Linked DNA regions of Caenorhabditis elegans. The protein of the gene in region 1 purifies or fractionates together with the protein of each later gene. This does not show direct contact. Each region holds a gene or a part of one and is shown in the gene's direction. Other genes may lie near its edges.

The links.
Region 2: the proteins of dis-3 (region 1) and exos-9 fractionate together in Caenorhabditis elegans (co-fractionation; one large-scale study listed by BioGRID). This does not show direct contact.

The regions. Positions count from the first base shown.
Region 1 is NC_003282.8:10,095,282-10,099,207, forward strand, and holds the start of dis-3 (putative exosome complex exonuclease RRP44), read left to right. Parts: upstream 1-1,920; 5' UTR 1,921-1,926; coding exon 1,927-2,013; intron 2,014-2,060; coding exon 2,061-2,257; intron 2,258-2,430; coding exon 2,431-2,746; intron 2,747-3,064; coding exon 3,065-3,305; intron 3,306-3,528; coding exon 3,529-3,926. Other genes in the region: msp-36 (Major sperm protein 10/36/56/76), read left to right, coding at 152-535. UniProt on the Caenorhabditis elegans protein: Putative catalytic component of the RNA exosome complex which has 3'->5' exoribonuclease activity and participates in a multitude of cellular RNA processing and degradation events. Has both 3'-5' exonuclease and endonuclease activities.
Region 2 is NC_003281.10:7,195,818-7,199,743, reverse strand, and holds exos-9 (Exosome complex component RRP45), read left to right. Parts: upstream 1-1,677; 5' UTR 1,678-1,682; coding exon 1,683-1,748; intron 1,749-1,790; coding exon 1,791-1,885; coding exon of another isoform or gene 1,886-1,889; intron 1,890-1,935; coding exon 1,936-2,039; intron 2,040-2,080; coding exon 2,081-2,172; intron 2,173-2,217; coding exon 2,218-2,382; intron 2,383-2,428; coding exon 2,429-2,511; intron 2,512-2,554; coding exon 2,555-2,687; intron 2,688-2,738; coding exon 2,739-2,827; intron 2,828-2,881; coding exon 2,882-3,185; intron 3,186-3,241; coding exon 3,242-3,415; 3' UTR 3,416-3,519; downstream 3,520-3,926. Other genes in the region: pfd-5 (putative prefoldin subunit 5), read left to right, coding at 861-980, 1,030-1,125, 1,169-1,300, 1,352-1,462.

The DNA.
Region 1 (3,926 bases):
AATAAACTTTAAATTTCCCCGTGAAATCTCATTACCCTTTTCCACGTTTTGTAGTCTATAGATCTGGGACAGTGATAAGAAGGTTGCTATAAATTGAGAATATTTTGCCATAATCTTCATAGAGTTTTCATAACTCCTTCATCGAACGACCATGGCCCAATCCGTCCCACCAGGAGACATCCAAACCCAACCAAACGCGAAGATCGTCTTTAATGCTCCATACGATGACAAGCACACCTATCACATCAAGGTGATCAACTCATCGGCTCGTCGTATTGGATATGGTATCAAGACCACCAATATGAAGAGACTTGGAGTTGATCCACCATGTGGAGTTCTCGATCCAAAGGAAGCTGTGCTTCTTGCTGTTTCCTGCGATGCTTTCGCCTTCGGACAAGAGGATACCAACAACGACCGTATCACTGTTGAGTGGACCAACACCCCGGATGGAGCTGCCAAGCAATTCCGTCGTGAATGGTTCCAGGGAGACGGTATGGTTCGTCGCAAGAACCTTCCAATCGAGTACAATCCATAGGATGTGTGAACTGGGTTTCTTAACAATAAACTTTTTTCAAGTATATGTTCTGTTTTTCTGTTTTAATCTGCAAATTGAATATATATTAATACTCAAGCGAACAAGTTTTGTGTTCCATCGATGCCCTTAACATAAGCATCCGGGATTTATTGTAAATCGTTTGGAACTATAGTAATCCTACCTTAATCTTCCAGTAGTCATTCAGTTCAGAAGACTACCCAACCATACTACTAACCCAGCCCATCTCTCCAAAACCTGAAAGCTGTTTTGCTCCGTAAAGGTCGAGGAGGGTGTATTTTTCTTACAAATCAAAGAAATTAACAAGTGAACCGATCACAACTTTTTTTGCTGATATGAGAGAAAAATACTTTATTGATTGGTTCGAGTAAATTTTCGAATTTTCGAAAAAGGAAAGATCCCTGGTATATAATGTCTCAGCTCTGCTATGTATTTTTCTATTTGAAATTCCGAATTCAAATTTTCTCTAGATGAAAGCCTTGGTATTGAATTCTATGCTGGGTTTAGTAAATTTTCGAATTTTCGATAAAAATTATATAATGAAGAAAAATATCCAAATTGGAGGTATTTTAATTTTAGAATACGGGAACGAAGAAGATCAAGATCACATACAAAGTTTAATGGATCTGAAGACATTTCAATTTATCTGGGTAGAACCAATTCTTCAACTCCAAATTCTACAGTAACCGATTCTTAAACATCTTATGGAAGTCCATCGAGATATGTATTTCATTATCATGTTCTTACCCGTTTTTTTTCAATAATGAGATTCTATATTTCGCTTAATGTTTTTATTGTTCTTATTGCTTCCAAAAATTAACATTAAAACAATAAATATTTTGCATCTTGACAAATTTAACATTTTAAAGTCTGGTCAGATTTCATCCTTGAGGACAGTGCTGTGTCTACATACATGAAAAAAAATCAAAAAGTGGCGATTATTTAGTTTCATCCGCATTAAATTTTGTAAGACAAAAAAGTTTGGCAATTTACCAAATCTATGACTGAAAAATTTTCAAAAATCTAAAAACGTTTTGAGCATTATTTTTTAAGGTTATGAGGCCCTAGATAATCATGTTTCCTACCCGATTATCTATTTTAGATGTTTAAACTTCCGTTTTCATGATTTTAGCCATACTCTATTTAGATATATTCTTCCTTTTCATTTCATTTTTCCTCGCAGCTGCGATGGCAGTGTTGTTCGAAGTGTTCGTTTTCGTAGTGCCTACGACACTCCGATGTTCCACTCGCGCGTGTTGTTCACCGTAAATGTACACTGAGTTTTTCTTCGAATAAAATAGTTTTTCCTTCATTTTTCACCTGATTCGTGCGATTTTATTTGTTTTTCACACGTATTTTCATTATTTGAAGGTATGGATTTGAACGTCAAACAAAGTGGAATTCATTCCGTCGCTTTGCACACGACTTACTTCCAAAATCGCTCGGGGAAAGTCTATAAAGTGAGAAAACCTCTCCGAAATCACCTAACCCAATTAAAATTTTGCAGAGAGCCGAAGAAAGATATCTACGAAATGATCTTTCATGTGGACTTGCTCAATGTGGAACCTGCAAGGATTTCGGCACAAATCCGCTGTTAAAAATTGAAAATCCCGTAAGAAATGCGAAAGTTGGAAGGCACGCGCTGATTGTGGATTCCACATCATTAATCAGATTCTACGATTTGTTTGATTCGTCTTTATTGAGGTAATGAATTAAAATTACAGCGGAATCATTTAAATGTAGATGGTTCTACTGTCCAATTATTAAATTCTTAATTTGTTGCTCCAAATTCAGTTTTTAGAAGTTGTCGGGATTGTAACAAACATCTAGTTTCAATTAAAAACTCTGTAAAATAATAAATTATATTTAATTTTCAGAGATCTCATCGTAACCCAGACTGTATGGGAAGGAGTCAAAGCAAAAGCTGTACCAGCCTACAAGAAAATGAATTCTTTGTGTTATGAAGATGCGAAAGACAGATTTCACGTGTTCATGAACGAATTTCACTGCGAGACCTTCTCCGAATCATCGAAATTTGAGGATTTGAGTCGTGGCGAAGAGCTTCTACTTTCAACAGCTCTTTACTTGAAAACTCATTGGCAGAAGCATAACGTGGCTCCTGTTGTCTTAGTTTTTGATGAAGATTCGAAAAAAAGAATGGAAAATCACTACCAACACGTGATGTATTTAAAGGTTAATAGTCGAAAAGTTCAAAACTCTGTGGATCTTTTCTGAAACTGGCGAAATTTCGAAAAAGAGCCAAATTTTGTTAAAAGAAAATTTTTGATTTCTTAAGACTCATAATGAAATTCTGTCGTTCCGAGCTAGTTTCAGACTATTTCAGCCAAAAACCCTAAAATATACACCTCTTTAACATATTTTCGCCGTAACTAAACTTTTATTCAACTAAAAATCATGATCCTTAATCAAAAATTGTATAATAAAGTACAATAAAGTTTGAAAAATGATCCAGTAACCCCGTAGAAAAAGAAAAAATCTCCAAATTTTCAGGAATACATACAAAATTTGGAGGATCCAGGAAAACAAGCACTTTTGGATCAAATGGCTGCGTATGAAAGCTCTGGAAATGGAAATGAGAAACAAATTTTCGATGAATATCTATCGCATGATAGAATTATGGAGGGAATTGCCAGTGGAACGATCAAAAGAGGAAATTTCAGTGTTTCAAGAGAAAATTATCGCGAAGCTACTGTTATTATTGATGATCAGTTAACATCTTGGTTCATCACAGGTGCTTGAATTTAGTTGAAATATTTATTTTCGAAAACCAACCAAATTTTTCACACAAGTCATTACTTTTTGCTGAGAATTTTAAAAAAACTTTTTTATAACGAAATTAGGTGGTTTTCGGTCATTTTGAGCGAAACAACTCTGAAATTATATTTTTAAAAAAGGTGAAATTTTTCCAAAAATTCCAATTCTCTGAATAATAAAATTTTTATTTCGAATTTTAGGAAATAATTGCAATCGTGCCGTCAATGGAGATACCGTCGCAGTTCAACTTTTGCCAGAAGACCAATGGACTGCTCCAGAGAAGAAAATTCGACTCCGTGACGTTGAAGAATATGTTAAAACTGCAGATGACATGGGAAATGAAGACGAGGAGAATGATGACGAGAACGATGAGCCAAAAGCTAAAAAGTCGAAGAAAATGACTGTTTCAACTGCAAAAGTTGTTGGAATTATCAAAAGAAATTGGCGTGAATATTGTGGAATGTTGCTGCCAAGTACAGTGAAAGGAGCCAGAAGACACTTGTTCTGTCCAGCTGAACGACTTATTCCAAGAATTCGAATCGAGACGGAACAGGCTGAAACTTTATCACAGCAGAGAATTGTGGTGGCTATTGATCAC
Region 2 (3,926 bases), on another chromosome or scaffold:
AATTTGATATGAGAACTGGTGTTAGAAAATCTTTAAAGAATAGAAAGAAGATGACTTTTGAAAGTCTCTTTCACGTTATCATTTTGAGACATAATTGGAAAAATTAGAGAGATTAGAGAAAAGGAAATTGAATGATAAGGAGATGAAAGTGATATCTTTGAAGGTTCAAAACAACTTTTCCACTTCGAGAAGATTCGTCTATAAAAAGGAAACAATTTTATGAAGGGATCTTTGTGAGTTTATAGAATTCTAGGGGTTGTAGTAGCTTTACCTTTCCAAAAAATGTTGTATTTCAGTTATGCCTTTTTCAAATGAAACAGATCCGCCAAGAAGTTCCAAACTGCAAATGATGTTTGATTTTCGAACTAATAGTTCAAAGTATCCCAGTCTAATTTATTATACACCGGAATTTTTTTATGATTCAACAAATAAAAAAGTGAAGGCGAAATCGGGGAATACCCTCAAGAAGATACACAACATTGCAGGGAAACAAAGGAGAAAAGTCTGGTGTTGGAGCTAAATGTCTTCAAATAAAAGTTACAAAATCGGTATTAATTGGTTGGAATCTCCATAAAATATTATTCAATTAATTTTTCTAAAAAAAAAACACCTTCAATATATTTTGATGAATAGAGCAAAAATCTACTTTTCGTCCTTCCTTAAAATATTATTTTTGAATTACCGCCAACAGTGGCCGTGGCCGCGCACATTTGAATTTTCTAGGCCAATGGTTCAATTCGAGAAAATTTCACCGATTTTTAATGCTTATTTTTTCATTATCCTTTTATCCATTTTTAGATCATAATTTCAATAAAGATTGTTATAAATATTCTTCTTTAATAATTATAAATAATTTTAGAATGGCAGAAGAACCGAAAGGAGTACCGCTGTCAGAGCTCAGCTTGCAACAACTCGGAGAACTCCAGAAGAATTGCGAACAAGAATTAAACTTCTTCCAGGAGTCTTTCAATGCTCTTAAAGTTTGTTGAATTTCGTATTTGTTTTTCAAATTAATAAAAATATTTGCAGGGTCTTTTAACGCGGAACGAAAAAAGTATTTCTGCTTTGGACGATGTGAAAATTGCAACTGCAGGACATACAGCTCTCATTCCACTTTCTGAATCGGTATATTTTCATTGTACTTTTTTAATAATTAATGATTATTCAGCTCTACATCCGTGCTGAACTATCTGATCCATCAAAGCATTTGGTGGAGATCGGAACTGGATACTTCGTGGAGCTGGACCGCGAGAAAGCCAAAGCAATTTTTGACCGTAAAAAGGAACATATTACAAAGCAGGTACGAACATCGAAAGTGTCTTACTTGAGTATTTAATCTTATTTATATCAGGTTGAGACAGTTGAGGGAATTCTGAAAGAGAAGCGAAGAACTCGGGCCTATATTTCGGACGCATTCCAGACCAAGGTTCAGTCTCAACTCGCCACGATGAATACACAATAAATGTCTGCCGAGAAATCTACTTCTGAAAATCTCTTGCTTTTCCGATATTCAAATTGTTGTTATCAATTTTCGATTTTAATACTACACCTTGCATTGATTCTTGTTCAAAATAATATGTTTCTTGCTTCTTTTTTGTATTCTAGCTAGTGGTTCGCGTTCAAACGCCTTGAGTACTTACAGTTCGAAAAAATAATTACTTTAAAATCTAACTTCAGAAGTAATGAGAGTTCAACCGGTGACAAACTGCGAGAAGGCTGTGATATTAGAGGCGCTGAAAATTGGAAAAGTAAACTGGTTTCATTGGATTTATTTTTAATTTTTTTTTCAGAGATTTGATTTTCGTAGTCTGGAAGAATTTCGGGATGTGAAGTTAGTGGTCGGAGCAGAAGTTGGAACTGCAATTTGCACTATTGGAAATACAAAGTTCGTTAGTTTTTCCTTATTATTTATAGTCATAAATTTTGAATTTTCAGAGTAATGGCTGCAGTAAGTGCCGAAATCGCTGAACCATCGTCAATGAGACCACACAAAGGAGTTATTAATATTGACGTTGATTTGAGTCCAATGGCTAATTATGGTTAGATTCCTATTTTTGATTAACAATTATCCTTTTTTTAGCCAATGAGCATGACCGTCTCGGGAGCAAAGGAATGGAACTGATTCGTCTATTGGAGCTTATTATTCGTGATTCTCGGTGTATTGATGTTGAGGTGAATTGAGCTGTAGAGAACTTAAATTACAAAAATAAATTCCAGGCTCTCTGCATTCGCGCTGGAAAAGAAATTTGGAAAATTCGAGTAGATGTCCGAATTCTTGACGAAGATGGAAGTCTTCTTGATTGTGCTTGTCTCGCTGCTATCACAGCTCTTCAGCATTTTAGACGACCAAATGTCACTTTGGAACCACATCACACTCTTATCGTGAGTTTGAATTTTTTTAAAGTTCTTAAGTAATCACAAATTTCAGTATTCGGAATACGAAAAAGCACCAGTTCCATTGAACATTTACCATATGCCAATTTGTACAACCATCGGATTATTGGATAAAGGGTTTGATTTCTGTCACAAATTCATTTTAATTTTTAATTTTCAGACAAATTGTAGTCATCGATCCAACAGATAAAGAAACTGCATGTCTTGATGGATCAATTGTAGTTGCCTGCAATAAGCGTCGCGAAGTTTGTGCCCTCCATCAGAGCACAAATCTCATTTTATCAACAAAGCAGGTATTCAATTTCGCATTTCAAATTTTCGAATATGACTTTAAAATTATTAAGATCGAGCGTTGCGTAAAGTTGGCAATGGCTCGTGCGGAAGCGCTCACTGCAGTTGTTAGTGACGTCATTAAACAGGATCAAATTGAAAGGTAACATTAGATTTTCAAATTTTGAAATTATTATTCAATTGTAAAATATTTCAGAAGCGCATTCAAACGTCCGGATGGTTTTGCAATCACCACTCCATCACTCATTCTCACAGCTGGAACTACAGCTTCTCGTCAAATTCGTGCTCCTGTAATCAAAACTGAGCCTGAGTCGTTCACACAGAGAAGTCTCTACCAACCAAGTGTTATTCTTAATGAGAATCCATTGAGTGTCGGATCAGTCAAGCAAGAAGATGTTGATGAGGAGACATTGCTCGCCGAGCAACTTACAACTATTCAGAATAGTGTTGGACAAGTTGAAGTGACTGAGAAGCAGACTGTTGCAGTTTCCAGCCGAAAGGTTTGTGAAATTAAGATTTTATTTAAACATTTTTTTACTATTTATTACTGTTTAAGCGCGAAGTAGAGGAAGTCAACGATCTTCTTGACGGACTCGACGATGACGACGAGGAGGAAGAAGTTCAAACAATGACACTGGGATCCGAAACAGTATTGAACGACGTGCCAATGGAAGAAGCTCCAGATGCCGAAGATAGCCTCGTGAATGCTAAAAAGAAAAAGAAGAAGTAGTTTAGATGCCGCTAATTTCTTTAATTTGTTGTCTTTTTCATTCCTTCCCATTTTTATTTGTTCGCAATGTTGCCTTGTTGTGTTTATGAATCGTTTAAAGTTTCATTCGGGAAGTACGGGATTCAGTTGAATAAGACATTTAGCAGCTAAATATTCCTGAACAGAGATTGACATGAGATAGAGAAAAAAACCAATGCAATATTTATATTATTAAGAAACCATGAGATCATGAGAATGCCTACCGTTGTTTTAATATCTCGTAGCGAAGGCACCTAAATCTCTCTTCGCCGCATGCTCTCTGCTTCCGCTACTTTCGTGCCAGAAAGTAGGCATTCTCATGAACTGGTGGTCTCTTAATACGCTGATACGAAATTTTGCGATTTCTGTTCAAAAAATACGGTACCGGTCTCGATAAGACAAGGTTTTGTAATTTAAAAATGCTGTGCGCCTTGGAAGATTACTGTAATTTTAAACTTTCGTAGCTACGAAAATTTCCTAAATTTTTCGTATT